Linked DNA regions of Anolis sagrei. Each later gene encodes a partner of the first gene's protein in a complex. Links are inferred from orthologs where the notes say so. Each region holds a gene or a part of one and is shown on either strand. Other genes may lie near its edges.

What was found.
Region 2: VDAC1 (region 1) and SPG7 share a complex: the UniProt entries of both Homo sapiens proteins name them as parts of the mitochondrial permeability transition pore complex. The link is inferred for Anolis sagrei from reciprocal best matches to the Homo sapiens genes VDAC1 and SPG7.
Region 3: VDAC1 (region 1) and PPIF share a complex: the UniProt entries of both Homo sapiens proteins name them as parts of the mitochondrial permeability transition pore complex. The link is inferred for Anolis sagrei from reciprocal best matches to the Homo sapiens genes VDAC1 and PPIF.

The regions. Positions count from the first base shown.
Region 1 is NC_090022.1:92,316,871-92,323,821, reverse strand, and holds the start of VDAC1 (non-selective voltage-gated ion channel VDAC1), read right to left. Parts: upstream 3,050-6,951; 5' UTR 2,974-3,049; coding exon 2,812-2,973; intron 1-2,811. UniProt on the Homo sapiens protein: Non-selective voltage-gated ion channel that mediates the transport of anions and cations through the mitochondrion outer membrane and plasma membrane.
Region 2 is NC_090028.1:27,667,072-27,675,067, forward strand, and holds the start of SPG7 (mitochondrial inner membrane m-AAA protease component paraplegin), read left to right. Parts: upstream 1-4,962; 5' UTR 4,963-5,176; coding exon 5,177-5,311; intron 5,312-7,996. UniProt on the Homo sapiens protein: Catalytic component of the m-AAA protease, a protease that plays a key role in proteostasis of inner mitochondrial membrane proteins, and which is essential for axonal and neuron development.
Region 3 is NC_090023.1:153,127,980-153,135,556, reverse strand, and holds the start of PPIF (peptidyl-prolyl cis-trans isomerase F, mitochondrial), read right to left. Parts: upstream 3,051-7,577; 5' UTR 2,928-3,050; coding exon 2,748-2,927; intron 1-2,747. UniProt on the Homo sapiens protein: PPIase that catalyzes the cis-trans isomerization of proline imidic peptide bonds in oligopeptides and may therefore assist protein folding. Involved in regulation of the mitochondrial permeability transition pore (mPTP).

The DNA.
Region 1 (6,951 bases):
CGCATGGCTATTTTTGATGACACACGGCCACATGCGGCCGCATACAGAGAAGTACACCTTATAAGAGCCAATCTAATTCCATCCTTAAATTTGTAAAAGGCTCTACAAATTTAGCATCTGCACATTTGAGTATTGTTCACTGCATAACTCAGCATGGAATATACATTTTTCTTATTTAAACTATAAATATTGCAATATTATTGGGGGGGGGGGTTCCCTCGAAGTTGACACCCCACCCAAGTTATGCTCAGGTTTTTAGCAAATTTTGACACACCAAGCTCAAAAGGTTGCCCATCACAGGCCTAGGGTATGCCTGGATATTTTAACATCCTGTGATAGGCCTGTCCCTGCATGAGAAGCTGGAACTGAGAGATGCTCCCCGGATTCAAACCACCGACCTTTCGGTCAGCAGTCCTGTTGGCACAAGGCTTTAACCCATTGTACCACCAGAGATGAAAAGGGGATACGGGAGAGAACAGGGGAATCAGAACTACCAGGAATAGGGTTTTATTCTTGAAATATTCACTCCCATAACACTTCCTGTCATGACATGACAAATAACATGTTGCAACATCACCATCGACTTTTAAATTATATTAAGCAACTCTTTAAGAGTACCCCTCTGTCATTACTTCTAAGAATCTTAGTTGGCTCACTGAATAATGAATCAAACCGAGATTGCTATGCTGTCCTAAGCACAACAACTGGGAGGTTAATCCCAACAAATCTACATCTGCACAACATGGCTGAATGAGAGAATTTTGCTGCAATAGAATTCTGGAAGAAGCCCAGGACTAAAAAGAGAGAACAGAGAATGACACCTCAACTTGAAGGCTAGAAAAAGAAATGTATGAACATCCAAAAAATGTTAAAACTCTGTCAGCTGCAGTAAATCTACTGTTTATGAATGACAGTAGCTTTCAGCCCAGGGCAACAAATAAATCCAACCCTAATTGCTTGCTTCACACAAATCAACTGTAAAGCAGGTCACATTGGAAGAGTCCTAAAGGCAGTGCCAAATAATCTGAGGTATCATCAAATCATTTTGTGTAACATTGATAAAAAGGTCTTTCACATTACATCCAGTCAAATTTGAAGGTACTTAGTTTTCTCTTAACCATGCCTAATGAATACTGAAGAAGCTTTCTCCATTTTGTTTTAATATCATATTTAATGTTTGCAACTATGACCCAGTTACATGGTTTGCATGTTGGACTACAGATGCATCTACATTGTTGAATTATAGTAGTTTGACACCACCTTAACAGCTATATCTCAATGCCAAGGGATCATGGGATTTGTAATTTGGTGAAGCATCAGTACTCTTTGGCAGAAAAGGATGAAGACCTTGTAAAGCTACAACTCTCACAATTCCATAGCACAGAATCATAGGCGTCAAACTACATTAATTCTACAAAGCAGATGCAGCCCATGACTCTGGAGACCAAGACTGAAGCCCCTGATCAGTCATGGAAATCCATTGGATGACTTTGGGCAAGTCACACACTCTCAACCTCAGAAGAAGGCAAAGCTGACTCCCTTCTGTACAAATCTTCCGAAGAAACCCTGGTGATAGGTTGAAAGTGTTTTGAAGGCAATGGAGGATGAAGACCTTGTAAAGCTACAACCCTCACAATTCCATAGCACTGAACCATAGCAGGTGTCAAACTAGATTAATTCAATAATGTAGATGTACCCCATGACTCTGGAGATCAGGATTGAAGCCCCTGCTCAGTCATGGAAACCCACTGGATGACTTTGGCCACACATTCTCAGAGGAGAGTGAAGTTCAAACCCTTCTGTATAAATCTTCCCAAGACAACCTGGTGATAAAATTGGAAGTGTCTTGAGGGTACACATTGTTCCCAAGGGAAGCACTTTTTAAAAATCCAGCAAATCGACTGAGTTTTAACTCTTTAACTCTCTTCCACGGAAATTAATTTTTTAAAAACCACTAAAAGTGCTTTTTGAACTTTACTAGAGAGTCCGGTCTCATGTTTGCCTCCTGATAGCTCCGAAGGCCTGCAGCCCTCTCTCTCTCTTACTAGTCCACTGGAAGCCAGTGCGGGAGGCATCTGGGAGAGAAAGCCTCGGAGCTTCCTCTTCTCTGCAGGAAGCATCCCTGAGGAGAGGAGGAAGCGGCAGACCTCCTTCCCGCAGCTCCAAGGGCATGAAGGGCGTTTAGAGGGCGGCCCGGGGGGGGGGGGCAGAGGGAGAATGAGAGGAAGAGGCGACGGAGGCCGAAAGGGGACCCGGAAACGTGGGAAGCAACGCGATCCGGGCGAGGCGAGCCTTCAAAGAAGAGCCGTGGGCCTTCTCTCCGACTCGTGCGAGGCGTGCTTTGCCTCCCGGAAGGTCACGCAGCGCTGCCTTTGGCGGAGGCGCCGGACGGAAAGGAGCCCTGTCCAAATCCCACTCTCTTCTCGAGGGAGAGCAGATGGCGCGGCTTAAAATAGCCGCCCAATGGCCCGCCAGGCCCCGATCCTGGGAGGGAAGGCCGAGGCGCCGCCCGGGGAAGGATGCCGAGGAGGAGGAGGAGGAGGAGGCAGGGAGGATTGGGTGGACAGCGCTTCCAGAAAGAGGCGCCCGCGGGTGGGGTTGGCGCTCAGGCCAAGGCGGCCTCCTTGGGAAGAAAGGGAAGGCCTGGCAAGGGGGAGAGCACAGCGCCAAAGGTCAGGGCTTGGAGGGCAAGGCGATGGCTCCTCGCCCAGGCCTCAGCGCCTGGCTCCAAGCCTCCTCCACCCCTCTCTCCCTCCCTTTTGCTTCTCTACTGGATCTCCTCTACCGCGACGCAGCGTGGGCTCAGCTTACCGCTCCGCCGGGCTCCTTTCCGTGGCTGCAGCAGGGCTTCTGCGGAGTGACAGCTGGCGAGGAGGCGGCGGAGAGGGGCGAAGGGGAGGGGGAAGGGGCCGAGGGGGAGGAGGAGGAGGAGAGGCGGAACGAGGTGGGCCTGTCCTGCGCCGAGGCCAGCATCGCGGAACCCTCCCCGCGCGGCTGCGAGACGTGACTGCGGCGCCCGCTCCCGCCTGCCTGCCTGCCTCGCCGCCTCGCCCGGCTGGCTCCTGCCGAGGGGGCGGGGCTTCGGAAGCGGCTCGGCCAATCCCAGGGCCTGCCTCCCGTTGAGCGTTTCACGCGCCCCAAGAAGAGCCAGGGGGCTGGCACTGGAGGCTGCGGCAGGCGGGCAGGCGAGGCAGCGCGAGACCGTGCGCCTGCGTGGTGCTGCGAGCGAACCACGGGTCCACAGCTCGGCTTCTTGGGGCGATGCATCCTCCCTGAATGCCCAGGGTTCTGGGAGTTGGAGTACAAAAGGATGGTGGAAGAACTCTTTTAGGCCTCGGCTACACTGGCTGACTAATACAGTTTCAAACCAGTCTTGCTGTGCAAATAGTTGCATCAGGAAGAGCGAGTCTACACAGGCATCCTTCCAAGGCGTAGTATCCACTAGGCATACATTCCCCCCGTGCACTGCACTACACCTCTATCCAGGCACAGCTGTTGTTGTATATTTCTGAGCAGGCCTTTGCAAATTATTATTATTTATTATTATTTATTATGATTGTGATTATGATTATTATTATTTAGAGCTTTTATAACCCGGTCTTCTCGACCTCCGAGGAGGGACTCAGGCCGGCTAACAACAGAGAATCAATATGCAAATAAACTAAAGCATAATAACATCATAGTACATTGATACATCAAAACACATTAAAATACAGATCAAGAATTACATAAAGCTGATTCGTCAAGGTAAATCACAAATTCATCCCATCCGCCTTGTAGTCAACAGTTATTGATTCCATCATCAATCTGAGAATGCTAAGTTCCAAAGCCAAGATTTTACCATCTTTCTGAAAGTCAGGAGGCAGCATAATTATTGTATCCATCTGCAGCTACTGTAGAATGAATGCAGTTGGATACAATTTTAACTGCAACGGCTCAAGGCTATAGAATTATGGGAGTGATAGTTTGGTGAGGGAGCAGAAAAGGCTAATGAACCTGGTAAAACTAGAACTCCCAGGATTCCACAGCATTTAGCCATGACAGTTAAAATAGAATCATAGAATCATAGAATCAAAGAGTTGGAAGAGACCTCATGGGCCATCCAGTCCAACCCCCTGCCAAGAAGCAGGAATATTGCATTCAAATCACCCCTGACAAATGGCCATCCAGCCTCTGCTTAAAAGCTTCCAAAGAAGGAGCCTCCACCACACTCCGGGGCAGAGAGTTCCACTGCTGAACGGCTCTCACAGTCAGGAAGTTCTTCCTCATGTTCAGATGGAATCTCCTCTCTTGTAGTTTGAAGCCATTGTTCCGCATCCTAGTCTCCAGGGAAGCAGAAAACAAGCTTGCTCCCTCCTCCCTGTGGCTTCCTCTCACATATTTATACATGGCTATCATATCTCCTCTCAGCCTTCTCTTCTTCAGGCTAAACATGCCCAGTTCCCTAAGCCGCTCCTCATAGGGCTTGTTCTCCAGACCCTTGATCATTTTAGTCACCCTCCTCTGGACACATTCCAGCTTGTCAATATCTCTCTTAAATTGTGGTGCCCAGAATTGGACACAATATTCCAGATGTGGTCTAACCAAAGCAGAATAGAGGGGTAGCATTACTTCCTTAGATCTAGACACTATGCTCCTATTGATGCAAGCCAAAATCCTATTGGCTTTTTTTGCCGCCACATCACATTGTTGGCTCATGTTTAACTTGTTGTCCACGAGGACTCCAAGATCTTTTTCACACGTACTGCTCTCGAGCCAGGCATTGTCCCCCATTCTGTATGTTTGCATTTCATTTTTTCTGCCAAAGTGGAGTATCTTGCATTTGTCACTGTTGAACTTCATTTTGTTAGTTTTGACCCATCTCTCTAATCTGTCAAGATTGTTTTGAATTCTGCTCCTGTCCTCTGGAGTATTGGCTATCCCTCCCAATTTGGTGTCGTCTGCAAACTTGATGATCATGCCTTCTAGCCCTTCATCTAAGTCATTAATAAAGATGTTGAACAGGACCGGGCCCAGGACGGAACCCTGCGGCACTCCACTTGTCACTTCTTTCCAAGATGAAGAGGAAGCATTAGTGAGCACTCTCTGTGTTCGTCCACTTAACCAATTACAGATCCACCTCACCGTAGTTTTGCCTAGCCCACATTGGACTAGTTTCCTTGCCAGAAGGTCATGGGGGACCTTGTCGAAGGCCTTACTGAAATCCAGGTACGCTACATCCACGGCATTCCCCGCATCTACCCAGATTGTAGCTCTATCGAAGAAAGAGATCAGATTAGTCTGGCATGACTTGTTTTTGATAAATCCATGTTGACTATTAGCAATGACTGCATTTGTTTCTAAGTGTTTGCAGACCACTTCCTTAACAATCTTTTCCAGAAGCTTGCCCGGTATCGACGTGAGGCTGACCGGACGGTAGTTGTTTGGGTCATCCTTTTTTCCCTTCTTGAAGATTGGGACCACATTGGCCCTCCTCCAATCTGCTGGAACTTCTCCCGTTCTCCAAGAACTCTCAAAGATGGTTGCCAATGGTTCCAAAATGACTTCCGCTAGTTCCTTCAATACTCTGGGGTGTAGTTGATCTGGCCCTGGGGACTTGAACTCATTAAGAGCGGCCAGGTATTCCTGGACGACTTCTTTCCCAATTTGGGGTTGGATGTCCTCCAATCCCTCATCCACTCCATCTTGCTGAGGTTGAAGACTCTCTTTTTGTGAGAAGACCGAGGCAAAGAAGGCATTAAGTAGTTCTGCCTTTTCCCTATCCCCTGTCAGCATTGCCCCATCTTCTCCTCGAAGAGGTCCTATCGCCTCCTTGTTTTTCCTTTTTCTACTGACATAAGAATAGAAGCCCTTTTTATTGTTTTTAATGTCCCTGGCAAGTCTGAGCTCGTTTTTTGCTTTAGCCTTGCGGACCTTTTCCCTACAGGTGTTGGCTATTTGTTTGAATTCTTCTTTGGTGATTTCTCCCTTTTCCCACTTCTTGTGCATGTCTCTTTTGTGTCTTAGCACAGTTAGAAGTTCTTTGGACATCCATTCTGGCTTCTTTGCACTTGTCCTATTTTTTCTCTTTGTTGGCACGGTTTGCAATTGCGCCTTGAGTATTTCACTCTTGAGAAATTCCCATCCATCCGTAACTCCCTTGTTTTTTAGTATCTGTGTCCACGGAATGCTGCTCAGCGTTTCCTTCATTTTTTGGAAATCAGCTCTCCTGAAGTCCAAAATGCGGGTTTGTCTTGTCTTAGTTTCGGCCTTCCTTTGTACCTCAAATTGCAGGAGCACATGGTCACTTGCCCCTAAGGATCCTACCACTTCGACCGCATTGATCAGGTTCTCCGCATTTGTTAGGATGAGATCAAGAGTAGCCAATCCCCTTGTTGCCTCTTCTACCTTCTGGACCATGAAATTTTCTGCAAGGCAAGCGAGGAATTTGTTGGACCTTGTACTCTTGGCCAAGTTTGTTTTCCAGCAAATATCGGGATAGTTGAAATCGCCCATGACTACTACATCTCTTCTCTGTGCCTGTTTGGTCAACTGTTGGCAGAAGACTTCATCAAGTTCTTCCTCCTGGCTTGGGGGTCTGTAGTAGACGCCTACAACGACATCTTTTTGAGTCCCAGTTCCCTTGATTCTTATCCAGATGATTTCAAGCTGGTTTCCCAGATTGCTGTCTTGAATCTCTTCTGCAGCATAAGAGTTTTTGACATATAAGGCTACTCCGCCTCCTCTCCCCTTTGTTCGGTTTCTGTGAAAGAGGTTATACCCCTCGATATCTACATTCCAGCGATAGGAGTCATCCCACCAGGTTTCAGTGATCCCTATGATATCATATTTGTGGTGTTGTCCTAAAGGTTGGAGTTCGTCTTGTTTATTTCCCATGCTCTGTGCATTAGTGTAAAGACATGTGAGCCCCTGAGATCTTCCCTTGAGCTGTTTAATTGGGATTATTGTGCT
Region 2 (7,996 bases), on another chromosome or scaffold:
CCTGGTGAAATCAGGTCGGCCCACTCTCTCCTGTCCTTTAGAAGGATGGTAAAAACTTGGCTGTGGGACCAAGCTTTCGGGACAGGGCAATAAAGCGGCAATAGGAAAAATGACCAGGCCAATTAGATTTGACACGGATGTCTAGGACGGTTTTAAATGGTGTATTTTAATATTTTGATAAATGTTTTTTTAATGTTTTTGTATTGTATATGAATTTGTGTCCCGACATTGAATGTTTGCCTTATATATGCTGTGCTCTGCCCTGAGTCCCCTTCGGGGTGAGAAAGGCAGAATATAAATGCTTAAAATAAATAAATAAATCTATATAAATAAAATGTAATGTTCGTTTGTGGGATTAACAGAACTCAAAAACCACTGGACGAATTGACACCAAATTTGGACACAAGACACCTATCAGGCCAATGTAGGGCCTTCACTAAAAAAAAATTGATTTTGTCATTTGGGAGCTGTAGTTGCTGGGATTTATAGTTCACCTACAATCAAAGAACATCGTGAACCACACCAACCATGGAATTGAACCAAACTTGGCACACAGTTCTCCCACGACCAACAGAAAATACTGAAAGGATTTGGTGGGAAGTGTCCTTTGGTTTTGGAATTATAGTTCACCTACATCCCAAGATCACTGTGGACTCAAACAATGATGGATCTGGACCAAACTCTACAAGAATATTCAATATGCCCAAATGTGAACACTGGTGGAATTTGGGGAAAATAGAATCTTGACAATTGGGAATTGTAGTTGCTGGGATTTATAGTTCACTTTCAATCACAGAGCATTCTGAACCCCATCAATGATAGAATTGGGCCAAACTTCCCACAGCAACGCGTGGCAGGGGATGGCTAGTAAATAAATAAAAATTTAATATTCGTTTGTGGGATGAACATAACTCAAAAACCACGGGACGAATTGACACCAAATTTGGACACAAAACAGATAGCAAGCCAAAGAGTGACCATCCCTCATAAAAACACTGAAAAACACATAAGAGACTTAAAAAGCCATTAAAAATTACAACACATGTGCAAAACCACATATATACCATATATACACATATCCACAAATATACACACACAAAACACATATACACAGACCAGGTCACAGCAACACATGGCAGGGGACGAATAATAATAATAATAATAATAATAATAATTTTTTAAAAAACTTTATTTATACCCCGCCACCATCTCCCCAAGGGACTCAGTGCAGCTTACATGAGGCCGAGCCCACAATACAACAATACAAGCAATAACAATACAAAGCACTTCAAATAAATCTCATACACAGAATAACACAAACATTAACAATAGCACAATACACATTTAAAATAATAATATATTATATTATTGATAATATTGTTATATCTATCTATTTAGCCATATATCTATCCCCTCTCTCTTCATCCATGTAGAAAGTCAACATGGCATAATGGGCCAACTTCGGCCCTTCAGGTGTTTTGGACTTCAACTCCCACAACTCCACAAAAAAGGAATTGTGAGAGTTGAAGTCCAAAACACCTTGAGGGCAAAGTTGGCCTATGCCTGGTGTAGTTGCATCTCATGTGTTGCCTTGATTTCTATAAGCCTCAAGCAAGCTAAGGGTATGTTATGTAATCAACTCCAGGCTGATGAAACACCATAGTTACAAGACCATATAGCTATCTTGTTATATCTTGCATACCTTTGCATTTCTGGAGACCTACGGTAAAAGCACAAGGGTGACTTGCACTAACTCTGTTTAAAGTCCACAACAGTACACCTTGAACCGGTTTCTGTGCCTTTCGTCAGCCGCCGTGTCAGGTTCTTCAAGTCACTGGGGGAAAGGCCGTTCTCCTTCTTCCGCATCTGAACTGTTTTGCAAATGGAATTGGAATAATTCTTCACCTTCCTCTCGGAACTGGGCATTTATTAATCAAGATTCAATAGCAGAACTTGGAAAGTTGCAATGTATCGAGAAAACTCCCAGAACCATCCCAAAGAGCCATGCTTTTTATAACACCATCCTGGAAAGTTTATTATAACGAGCTTTGGTTGTCATAAAAAAGGTATGACATTCAGTCCAGTCGTGCCCGACCCTGGGGGTTGGTGCGCATCTCCATTTCTAAGCCAAAGAGCGGGCGTTGTCCTTAGACACCTCCAAAGTCATGTGGCCAGCATGACTGTGTGGAGCGCCGTTACCGTCCCATCGAAGCGGTACCTATTGATCTACTCACATTTCCATGTTGTCGAACTGCTAGGTTGGCAGAAGTTGGGGCTGACAGTGGGAGCTCACCCGGCTCCCCAGATTCAAACTGCCAACTTTCAGTCAGCAAGTTCAACAGCTCAGCGGTTTAACCGGCTGCACCACAGAGGGCTTCTTGGTTGTCATAGCTCAAAGGTTTTTCAAGTAGGAAAACTCCCAACAGGAATTAGTTTGATAGTGCAAATGGGTATATTAAATTTTAACATTTCCCTATTGTGTGTTTTAATTGTCTTGTTATTTTAAGTTATGAGCTAGTTTTGAGTCTGTTTCAGGTTTTAAAAAATCAGGATATTATTATAATCCTTATTTATAATATTTATTTATACCCCACTTTATCTCCCTCGGTGGCGCAGTGGGTTAAACCACTGAGCTGCTGAACTTGCTGACCAAAAGGTCGCTGGTTCAAATCCGGGGATCAGGTGAGCTCCCGCTGCTAGCCTCAGCTTCTGCCAACCTAGCAGTTAAAAAACATGCAAATGTGAATAGATCAATAGATACAGCTCCGGCTGGAAGGTAACTGCACTCCATGCACTCATGTTGGCCACATGACCTTGGAGGTGTCTACAGACAACGCTGGCTCTTCGGCTTAGAAATGGAGACGAGCACCAACCCTCAGAGTCGAACACGACTGGACTTAATGTCAGGGGACAACCTTTACCTACCTAATACATTAAATATAATTACTACTGATAATATCATGTTTTATTACGGTATATTTGTATTTTTTTGAAATGATTTTATTGAAGATTAGTATATATTTACATACATGGAAAGTGGGGGAACATTTAAAAGATAGGAAAATGGGAAATAAAGAGAAGAGAGAAAAAAAGAAAAAAAGGGGGGGTTTGATTTCCATTCCATCTTCATGGTTTCTTCTCACTTTACTTTTTATAGTTGTTACATAATTTTCCGTTCAAATTATTATGGTATATTTGTATTTTTTAAGTCGTATTTTTTATTGTGAGTCGCTTTGGAAAGACATAAAAAATAAACAAATAAAAAAATAAAAAATAATATTAATAATATACAAACATTAAAACAGTATTAAATAGGATCAATATCAAAAACAATTCAGTTTAGATCCATAAAAATATTACGAGAATAATAATGATGATGATGATAATGATAATAAATTACTACTGGCTGCATACTACAGAGCTTGTAATGAGAATAAACAAATAAAAATAAAATAATAATATTAATAATAATATACAAACATTAAAACAGTATAAAACAGGATAAATATTAAAAACAATTCAGTTTAGATCCATAAAAATATTACGAGAATAATAATGATATATTTTTTTTGTCCTGTCATGAGTTGCTCCTGTTGTGAGAGAATTGGCCATCTGCAAGGACGTTGCCCAGGGGATGCCCGGATGATTTGATGTTTTATCAACCTTGTGGGAGGCTTCTCTCATGTCCTGGCATGAGGAGCTGGAGCTGATAGAGGGAGCTCATCCGCCTCTCCCCGGATTCGAACCTGCGACCTGTCGATCTTCAATCCTGCCGGCACAGGGCTTTAACCCACTGCGCCACCGGGAACTGCAATAATGATAATAATAATAATAATAATAATAATAAGTATGCAGCCAGTTGTAATTAATAATTATAATAATTATAATTATAATTATGATAATAATTATAATAATAATTACAACTGGCTGCATACTACAGAGCTTGTAATAAGAATAAACAAATTAAAATAATAATAATAATGATAATAATATACAAACATTAAAACAGTATTTAATAGGATCAATATTAAAAACAATTCAGTTTAGATCCATAAAAATATTACGAGAATAATAATGATATATTTTTTTGTCGTGTCAGGAGTTGCTCCTGTTGTGAGAGAATTGGCCATCTGCAAGGACGTTGCCCAGGGGACGCCCGGATGATTTGATGTTTTATCATCCTTGTGGGAGGCTTCTCTCATGTCCTCGCATGAGGAGCTGGAGCTGATAGAGGGAGCTCATCAGCCTCTCCCCAGATTCGAACCTGCGACCTGTCGATCTTCAATCCTGCCGGCACAGGGGTTTAACCCACTGCGTCACCGGGGGCTGCAATAATGATAATAATAATCATAATAAGTATGCAGCCAGTTGTAATTAATAATTATAATAATTATAATAATAATTACAACTGGCTGCATACTACAGAGCTTGTAATAAGAATAAACAAATTATAATAATAATAATAATGATAATAATATACAAACATTAAAACAGTATTTAATAGGATCAATATTAAAAACAATTCAGTTTAGAACCATAAAAATATAATAATAATGATGATGATGATGAATTACAACTGGCTGCATACTACAGAGCTTGCAATGAGAATAAACAAATAAAAATAAAATAATAATAATATACAAACATTAAAACAGTATTTAATAGGATCAATATTAAAAAACAATTCAGTTTAGATCCATAACAATATTACAATAATAATAATAATAATAATAATGAATTCCTCCTGGCTGCATACTACAGAGCTTGTAATGAGAAACCCATGTGGCAGGGCGGCCATCTTGGGAGTGGGCTGCAAGGGGCGGGGCCAAGAGGTGACCTCTGTAATGCGAGGCCGAGGGGCGGCTCTCTTGAGAGCGGGAGGAGGGGGCGGGGCCAAGAAGCAGCGTCGTGCGTGCCTCAAAGTGGCGGCCATTTTGAGAGCGGGCTGCGAGACGGGAGGGAATAGGAGGGCGGCCATCTTGAGAGCGGGCCGAGGAGAGGAAAAGAGGAGCGCAGCGTGCGAGGCGGAAAAGCGGCCATCTTGGGAGTGGGCTGCGAGGGAAGCGAGCCGCCAGCTTTTAAGATGGCGGCGCCGGCTCCTTTTCCTAGTCTCCCTTCTGTTTTCTCCTGAGGTGAAATCCTCATTTTTTCCCTCATCGAAAGGACTCATCCGAGGATGGCTTCTTTGCTGCGGCTTCTCCTCCGGGGAAGCTTCCGAAGGTTGGGACCGAGGGCTTTTCTGGTGAACGGGGTTTTTCGTGGCGTCTGCTCCGGTCCGCCTCTCAGGAAAGGCCCAGGCTGCGGCCTTCAGGTAAAGGAGGGGGGAATCCACACTTGGGCCCTTGGCTTCCTCAGGATCGAATTAATGTTGTCTCTATGATGGGGAAGTTCCTTGTAGAACTACAAGTCCTTCAGGCATTTCCAAATAGGAAATCTGTAATAATTTTAGTATGAATAGTAATGATGTATCGTCAAAGGCTTTCATGGCCGGAGTCACTGGGTTGTTGTAGGTTTTTCCGGGCTATATGGCCATGTTCTGGAGGCAGTTTTTCTCCTGACGTTTCGCCTGCATCTATGGCAAGCATCCTCAGAGGTAGTGAGGTCTGCTGGAAGTAGGAAAAATGGGTTTATATATCTGTGGAATGACCAGGGTGGAACAAAGGACTTTTGTTTGCTGGGGCTAGCTGTGGATGTTTCAGCTGATCACCTTGATTAGCATTCAATGGCTTGGAAGTGCCCGGGGGGAATCCCTTGTTGAGAGTGATTTTATGTGCCTGTTTGTTTCCCCTCTGTTGTTTTGCTGTTGTGATTTTTGAGTCCTTTCATACTAGTAGCCAGATTTTGTTCATTTTCATGGTTTCTTCCTTTCTTCCTTCCTTTCTGATGAACCAACCTGGACACAGCATATTATTTGAGAACACAGAAGTGCTGGACCACTCTCACAACCACCATGTCAGACTACACAGAGAAGCCATTGAAATCCACAAGCATGTGGACAATTTCAACATATGTCATCTCATATGTTCAAAATATAGCTGCTTCGATGTGTTGTCAAAGGCTTTCATAGCCGGAATCACTGGGTTGCTGTGAGTTTTCCCGGCTGTCTGGCCATGTTCGAGAAGCATTCTCTCCTGATGTTTCGCCTGCATCTATGGCAGGCATCCTCAGAGTTTGTGAGGTCTGTTGGAAACTAGGAACATGTGGTTTATATATCTGTGGAATGACGTCCAGGGTGGGAGAAAGAACTTGTCTGTTTGAGATAGGTGTGAATGTTGCAATTGGCCACCTTGTTTAGCAGTTAATGGCCTTGAAGCTTCAAAGTCTGGCCACTTACTGTGTGGGGGAATCTTTTGTTGGGAGGCGATTAGCTGGCTCTGATTGTTTCTTGTCTGGAATTCCTGTTGTCTGGAATTCCCCCGTTTTCTGATTGTTGTTCTTTATTCACTAGTAGCCAGATTTTGTTCATTTTCATACTTTTATCCTTCCTGTTGAAATTGTTCACATGCTTCTTGTGGATTTCAGTGGCTTCTCTGTGTAGCCTGACATGGTGGTTGTCAGAGTGGTCCAGCCTTTCTGTGTTCTCAAATAATGTTCTGTGTCCAGGTTGGATCATCAAGTGCTCTGCTGAGGCTGACTTCTCTGGTTGTATAATAATAACAGTGATAATGAGAGTAATAATAATAATAGTAATAATAGCAGTAGTGATAATAGTAGTAATAGTTATAATATTAGTAATGATGATAATGAGAATAGTGCCAATAATGATAATAGTAATAATGATAATAATAGTAATAAAAGTAATAGTGATAATAGTATTGATAGTAATAATGATAATAGTAATTATTCTAATCGTAATAATAATAGTCTCCAAGCTTGGATTCTGTAATAATAGAATAATTAATAATCTATCTATCTTCTGTACATCTTCTATCTATCTATCCACATAATAGAAGTGAAAATGTGTATGTGGCAGAGGTGTCCACTTACACACAGATTCCCATTTCTCAGAAAGAGCTAGGTTGGGGAGGGAATGACACACCCACGTGGGAGTTGTAGTTCGCCCTTCATTCAGAGCACTCTGAACCCCCTCAATTATGGATTTGGACCAAACTTGTTACAAAGACCCAACATGCCCAACCACGAATACAGGCAGAGTCTGGGGGTGATTGCTCTGGGAGCTGTAGTTCACCTGCATCCAGAGAAACGGTGGCCCTCACCGACAATGGACTGGGACCACACTTGTCACAGAAAAGCCCCAAGACCAACTCAACATACCATGCTGTTGGGGTTGGTGGGAATTGACCTTGATTTTGGGAGTTGTAGTTCACCTGCATTCAGAGAGCACTGAACCCAGCCAACTTTGGATCTGGACCAATCTTGGCACACAGATGCAATATCGCCAACTGTACATACAGACCTGGTTTGGGGAGGATTGACCCACGATTCTGGGAATTGTAGTTCACCCACATCTTTATACATTTTCCAAGAGGAGCATTCATAAACAATGAAATTGAAGACTGGCTTTTTTCTAATCAATAGTGTTACTAGTTAACTAAATGATTTTACCTAACCCCCCAAAACAAACAATGCCTTTTTTCAAATAATCGGGGCATTGCCAGGTACCCTGGCTAGTAATAGTAGCAATAATGATAATGATAATAATAATAATAATAGTAATGATAATAATAATAATAATAAGTAGTTAATGTTTTACCTACTTGTTTTTCAATAGAGCCTGGATTCTATCACAATAGAATAATTAATAACATAATAAGATACCTTGTAAATCATTAATAATAATGATAACAATAGTAGTAATGATAATAGTAGTAATATTAGTAATAATAATAGTCTGTAAGTAGTTAATGTTTTACCTACTTGTTTTTAAGTAGAGCCTGGAGTCTATAATAATAGAATAATTAATAATAATGTAATAAAATATCTTGGAAATCATTAATAATAATGATAGTAATAGTAGTCATGATAATAGTAGTAA
Region 3 (7,577 bases), on another chromosome or scaffold:
TGTATGTTTATACTGGCTGTAAACCGCCTTGGGCCCTTGACTATGGAAAGAGAGGCTATAAATTTCATAAACCATTTGGGCCCAGAGTATTTGACAACCGGCATCCCCACCTACAAATCTGTTTGGATTCTGTGATCAGCGGAGGGGGTCCTCCTCTCAGTCCCACCCCGGTCTCAAGCACGGCTGGTGGGAACAACTGGTGGGGACAAAACTGACTGACTATTTTAATTTACCAAAGAGCTATATTTTTATATCTTTAGACAGATTTTAACTCTTTAATTGTATTATGTATGTTGCCAGACTGACTGATTTATGTTTTTATAGCCAAAGGCTTTTTGATTCGATTCTATGTTTAAATGTTTTCATTTTATTGTTGTACGCAGCATTTAATGTTTGCCATTTTTGTTTATGGAAGCCACCCTGAGTCCCTTTGGGGAGAGAGGGCAAGTTAAAAATAAAGTTTTATTATTATTATATCTATATCTGTGAATAATGAGTACCTTAAAAACAAAAGAACCAATGAATGAAATCACACCAAATTTGGCAACAAAACGTCCCACAACACAAGGAGTGACCATCACTCAAAAAATCATGATTTTGTCATTTGGGAGTTGTACTTGCTGGGATTTATAGTTCACCTACAATCAAAGAGCATTCTGAACTCCTTCAACAATGGAATTGAACCAAACTTGGCAAACAGAACTCCCATGACCAACAGAAAATACTGGAAGGGTTTGGTGGGCATTGACCTTGAGTTTGGAAGTTGTACTTCACCTACATTCAGAGAGCACTGTGGACTCAAACAATGATGGATCTGGACCAAACTTGGCACAAGCACTCAATACATCCAAATATGAACACAGATGGAGTTTGGGGGAAATAGACCTTGACATTTGGGAGTTGTAGTCACTGGGATTCACAGTTCACTTATAATCAAAGAGCATTCTGAACCCTATGAACGACAGAATTGGGGCAAACTTCCCACACAGAAACCCCATGACAAACAGAAAATACTTAAGGCCATCCAATCCAACTCCCTTCACCAGGGCAAGAACACATAATCAAAGTCCTCCTGACAAAGAGCCATCCAGCCATAGATATAGATAGATATAATTCACACACTCACAGATATAGTATCATAGATTTGAAAGGGACCCTTAAAGAAGGACAATGATATGTTGCATGTTCCAGGGTGGACAAACCAGACACTCTCCACATCAAAACCGACAAAGAAACAGCAAGAAATACTGTTTACCCACAAGCATAAAGTAATAACATATATTAGAAACCAACACTTTCTCATTATTTTCCAGATCAACAGACTGGGCCACAGCAACACGTGGCAGGGGACAGCTAGTATATATATATATATATATATATATATATATATATATATATAAATGCTCTGTTCGTTTTGAGTGACATAGTAACTCAATATCCACTGGACGAATTGCTGCCAAATTTGACCATAAGACACCTATTAACCCAAGGAGTTACCATCACTCAAAAAATCGATTTTGTCATTTTGGAGTTGTAGTTGCTGGGATTTATAGTTCCCTGCAATGAAAGAGCATTGTGAACTCCACCAACGATGGAATCGAACCAAACTTGGCACACAGAACACCCATGACCAACAGAAAACGTTAGAAGGGTTTGGTGGGCATTGATCTTGAGTTTTGGAGTTGTAGTTCACCTACATGCAGAGGGCACTGTGGACTCAAACAACTGAAAAATCTAGACCAAACTTGGCATGAATACTCCATATGTCCAAATATGAACACAGATGGGTGTTTAGGCAGAAATAGACCTTGACTGGGATTTATAGTTTCTGGGGGTCTTTAGTAACCCTTCTGACACCCCCTCACGACCCCCAGGTTGGGAAATGCTGCCTTAAGACCATCCACTCCAACTCCCTTCACCAGAGCAAGAAAATATAATCAAAGCCCTCCTGACACAAAGTCACCCAGCCATACACACACACACACACACACACACACATATATATGAGATTCACACACATACATATATATGTATATGACAGATATAGTACTAGAGATTTGAAAGGGCAAATATATGTTGCATGTTCCAAAGTAGGCAAACCAGACAACCTCTGCATCAACACTGACAAAGAAACAAGAAACATTGTTTACCCACAAGTATAAAGAAATTACATATATTAGAAACCAACAACTTCTTATTACTTTATTTTCAAGATCACCAGACTGGGCCACAGCAATGCGTGGCAGGGGGCGGCTAGTTATATTGTAAATAAATAAAGTTCAATAAATCCCTGATTCAGAACATTGTTATGGTTTCCAATGGCACCTTTGAAGGGCACCTTGAAGAGAGAGGACGCCCAGAGGAAAGGCGCCTGGAGAGGAGGGAGGGTGCGAATACCCTGTGGAATCAATGCGGTTTTGACACCACTTGAGTTGCCATGGCTCTGTGTGGAGTTGTATTTCATTGAGGGGCTAGCCCTCTGGGGCAGAGAAGGCTGGAGACCTAGCAACTACTCCCAGGATAGCACAGCATAAGGCCAGGGCAAAGCAAGTCATTCCATAGTGTGGACCAGGGTATGGGCAAGCTTGGGCCCTCCAGGTGTTTTGGACTTCAACTCCCACAATTCCTAACAGCCTACCGGCTGTTAGGAATTGTGGGAGTTGAAGTCCAAACCACCTGGAAGGCCCAAGCTTGCTCATACCTGGTGTAGATGCACCTGAGGAGAGGCAAAGAGAAGGCGCGCGCACCTCGAAGACGACGCGGCCCAGGGGCTGGTTGTCGGCACCCACGTCCAGGAAGACCAGGGGGTTGTCGTCGTCGTCCTCGCCGCGGCGGCTGCTGCTGCTGCTGTCGCTGCACTCCCGGGTGGCGGAGCGGAGCAGCGGGAGGAGGAGGAGGCGACTGCGGGCGGAGCGCAGGGCCAGCATGGCGGCGGGCAGAAGACAGAGAGACCTGAGAGGAAGCGTCCTTTCCCGCGTCCCTCTCTCAAGCGCGCTGAGAAAGCCGGCCTCGCGCTTCAGGCCTCTTTTATAAGCCCTCCTCCCCGCCTCCCTTCGGCGACGGCGCGTGGCCGTGACGTCACGAGGCGGGCGTTTGGACGGCGCGCGAGAGGGCCTTCCCCACAGGCATCTCCTGCGAGGGGCCTCTCTAAGGGTCTGGGTCTCACTCAACTACAATCCCCACTCAGCTCTACTGTGATAACGCACTGAGTCGGCTTTCTTCTGGGAGGAGAAGGCCCCAGTTGTGATGAAGGTAGTTGGGTTGTTGTAGGTTTTTTCGAGCTATATGGCCATGTTCTAGAGGCATTCTCTCCTGACGTTTCGCCTGCATCTATGGCAAGCATCTTCAGAGGTTGTGACCTCACCTCACAACCTCTGAGGATGCTTGCCATACGTGCAGGCAAAACGTCAGGAGAGAATGCCTCTAGAACAGGGGTCCTCAAACTACGGCCCGGGAGCCGGATATGGCCCTCCAAGGTCATTTACTCAGCCCTCGCTCAGGGTCAACCTAAGTCTGAAATGACTTGAAAGCACACAACAACAACAACAATCCTATCTCATCAACCAAAAGCAGGCCCACACTTCCCAATGAAATACAATGGTTTATATTTCTTAAAATTGTTCTTTTTTATTGTATTGTATTGTTCTGAAGTGTTTTTTGCACTACAAATAAGATGTGTGCAGTTTGCATAGGAATTCATTTTTTTTTTCCAAATTATAATCCGGCCCTCCAACAGTTTGAGGAACTATGACCTGGCCCTCTCTTTAAAAAGTTTGTGGACCCCTGCTCTAGAACATGGCCATATAGCCCGAAAAAAACCTACAACAACCCAGTGATTCCAGCCATGAAAGCCATCGACAAGGTACTTACTTGTTTACTCTGCTGAGAAGCAGAGAGACCCTGCTTCCTCCTCTGGGGAGTTCAGGGCAGTGGGGTCAGTCCTGTTCAACATCTTTATTAGTGACTTAGATCAGTGGTTCTCAACCTTCCTAATGCTGTGACCCCTTAATACAGTTCCTCTTGTTGTGGTGACCCCCAACCATAATATTATTTTCATTGCTACTTCATAATTGTAATGTTGCTCCTGTTATGAATCGTAATGTCAATATCTGATATGCAGGTTGTATTTTCATTCATTGAACCAAATTGGGCACAAATGCCCGATAGGCCCAAATTTGAATACTGGTAGGGTGGGGGGGGGGGGGAGAGATTTTGTCATTTGGGAGTTGTAGTTGATGGGATTTATAGTTCACCTACACTCAAAGAGCATTCTGAACTCCACTAATGATGAAATTGAACTAAACTTGGCATACAGAACTCTCATTACTAATAGAAAATACTGGAATGATTTGATGGGCATTGCGTTTTGGAGTTGTAGTTCACCTACATCCAGAGGAGCACTGTGGACTCGAACTGATCGATCTGGACCAAACTTGGCATGAATGCTCAATATGGCCAAACGTGAACAGTGGTGTAGTTTGGTGAAAATAGACCTTGACATTTGGGAGCTATAGTTGCTGGGATTTACAGTTCACCTGCAGTCAGAGTATTCTGAATTCACCAATGATAGAATTGAGCCAAACTTACCACACAGAAGCCCCATGGTCAACAGAAAATACCGTGTTTTCAGATGGTCTTTGGTGACTCATCTGACACCCCCCTTGCGATCCGCTCAGGGGTTCCGACGTTGGTGAAAGCTCGAGGCGGGCGAGGGGGCTTTGCGCGAGGCCAGGCCTCGTGCTGAGGACCCCTTGCCCGCCTCGCGTCCACGCCGAATGGGGTGGGGCCAACGGAGGCGGACTCGCGACCCCTCCGAAATGGCCAGATGACCACCCTGGGGGTCACAACCCCCAGGTTGAGAACCACTGACTTAGATGGAGGGTATTTTTATTTGTCGTGTCAGGGCAACCAGTCAATTGTATTACATTTCTAACAGAACAAAACAAACAAACAGACAAATACAAAATGTGTGAGCTTGGTAGTTGATTAAATATCCTTTGACCAGTAGCTGGCCACTTGGAGTGCTTCTGGTGTTACTGCAAGAAGGTCCTCCATTGTGCATGTGGCAGGGCTCAGGGTGCATTGCAGTAGATGGTCTGTGGTTTGCTCTTCTCCACACTCGCATGTCGTGGATTCCACTTTGTGGCCCCATTTCTTGAGGTTGGCTCTGTATCTCGTGGTGCCAGAGCGCAGTCTGTTCAGCGCCTTCGAAGTCTCCCAGTCTTCTGTGTGCCCAGGGGGGAGTCTCTCATTTGGTATCAGCCATTGGTTGAGGTCCTGGGTTTGAGCCTGTCACTTTTGGACTCTCGCTTGCTGAGGTGTTCCAGCGAGTGTCTCTGTAGATTTTAGAAAACTATTTCTAGATTTAAGTCATTGACGTGCTGGTTGATACCCAAACAGGGGATGAGCTGGAGATGTCTCTTCCTTGGTCCTTTCACTATTGGCTGCTACTTCCCCCAGCTAAGCAGTGTAATTTCTCCAGTGGTGTAGGGCGCAGACACCCCATGATAATGCGGCATGTCTCATTAAGAGCCACATCTACTGTTTTAGTGTGGTGAGATGTGTTCCACACTGGGCATGCATACTCATCAGCAGAGTAGCATAGTGCAAGGGCAGATGTCTTCACTGTGTCTGGTTGTGATCCCCAGATGAAGGGTTAGAAGGCATGATCATTAAGTTTGCAGACAACACCAATACTCCAGAGGACAGGAGCAGAATTCAAAACAATCTTGACAGATTGAGAGATGGGCCAAAACTAACAAAATGAAATTCAACAGGGACAAATGCAAGATACTCCACTTAGGCAGAAAAAACGAAATGCAAAGATACAGAATGGGGGACGCCTGGCTTGAGAGCAGTAAATGTGAAAAAGATCTTGGAGTCCTCGTGGACAACAAGTTAAACATGAGCCAATAATGTCATGGGGCGGGGGGAAAAAGCCAATGGGATTTTGGCCTGCATAAATAGGAGCATAGTGTCTAGATCCAGGGAAGTCATGCTACCGCTCTATTCCGGCTTGTTTAGACCACACCTGGAATATTGTGGCACCACAATTGAAGAGAGATGTTGACAAGCTGGAATGTGTGCAGAGGAGGGCGACTAAAATGATCAAGGGTCTGGAGAACAAGCCCTATGACGAGTGGCTAAAAGAGCTGGGCATGTTTAGCCTGAAGAAGAGAAGGCTGATAGGAGACATGATAGCCATGTATAAATATGTGAGAGGAAGTTACAAGGAGGAGGGAGCAAGCTTGTTTTCTGCTTCCTTGGAGGCTAGGACATGGAACAATGGCTTCAAACTACAAGAAAGGAGATTCCACCTGAACATGAGGAAGACCTTCCTGACTGTGAGAGCCGTTCAGCAGTGGAACTCTCTGCTCTGGAGTGTGGTGGAGGCTCCTTATTTGGAAGCTTTCAAACAGAGGCTGGATGGCCATCTGCCGGGTGCTTTGATTGCAATATTCCTGCTTCTTGGCAGGGCGTTGGACTGGATGGCCCATGAGGTCTCTTCCAACTCTATGATTCTATGTTGCCTCTCAGAAAGATGTGAAGAGCCCCCTTGGTCGCCTCAGTGCCTGCTGCTTGGATCTCCTTTCCCTCTGGCCTCCTCTGAACCCATGGACAAGTGGTACTTGTGAGGGTTGGTAAATGTGTATAAGCAGAGTAAGTAGAAGCTTTACCACAGTATTTAAACTAAAGTATATCCTGCTTGGACCGTGAGAAGATCCAGCCAGTCCATACTTCAGGAAATAAAGCCCAACTGCTCACTGGAGGGACGCATAGTAGAGGCAAAGATGAAGTACTTTGGCCACATCATGAGAAGAAAGGAAAGCTTAGAGAAGACAATTATGCTGGGGAAAATGGAAGGAAAAAGGAAGAGGGGTCGACCAACGGCAAGGTGGATGGATGGCATCCTTGAAGTGACTGGCTTGACCTTGAAGGAGCTGATGGCCGACAGGGAGCTCTGGTATGGGCTGATCCATGAGGTCACAAAGAGTCGGAAGCAACTGGAACAAATAAACAACATATTGATTTCAGGTTCGAGCCCTGCTTTCATGTATTTTAAGAAAGAGATGGCAGAATTATTAGAACTTTGGCTGACATTAGATATTAATTTAACAGAGTTGGAAGCGACTGTGGTCCCCTGTTTTCTGAGTGTTCCACAGGAACTTGTTATATTCAGTTAGTTGTTCTTTACCTTGAGAGTTTTTGTGTGGGCGGTTCCAGACAGCCCTTTATCTCAGGATCATTCGCGTTTTTAAAACGTGGATGTTCCTGGGGGCCTGTCTGCACCCACCCCAGAAAGTGTTCGCTTTCTGGGGTGGGTGTCCACATGTTCTGTTGGGACTAGCCCAGCAGAACATCAGGGGACCTGCCTCCAGTACACTCTTGCAGCACCTCTGAAAAGTAATGAAAACTTACCCGGCCTCCAGTACACTCATGCAGCACCTCAACTGGTGCTTAGAAATGACATGCCAGGAGAGTGGGGGGGGGGGGGGGGAGGAAAATCGCTCTCCCCCCCCCCCCCCCCACTCTCCTGGCGCATCATTTCTATGCGTCAGGAGAGGTGCTGCAAGAGT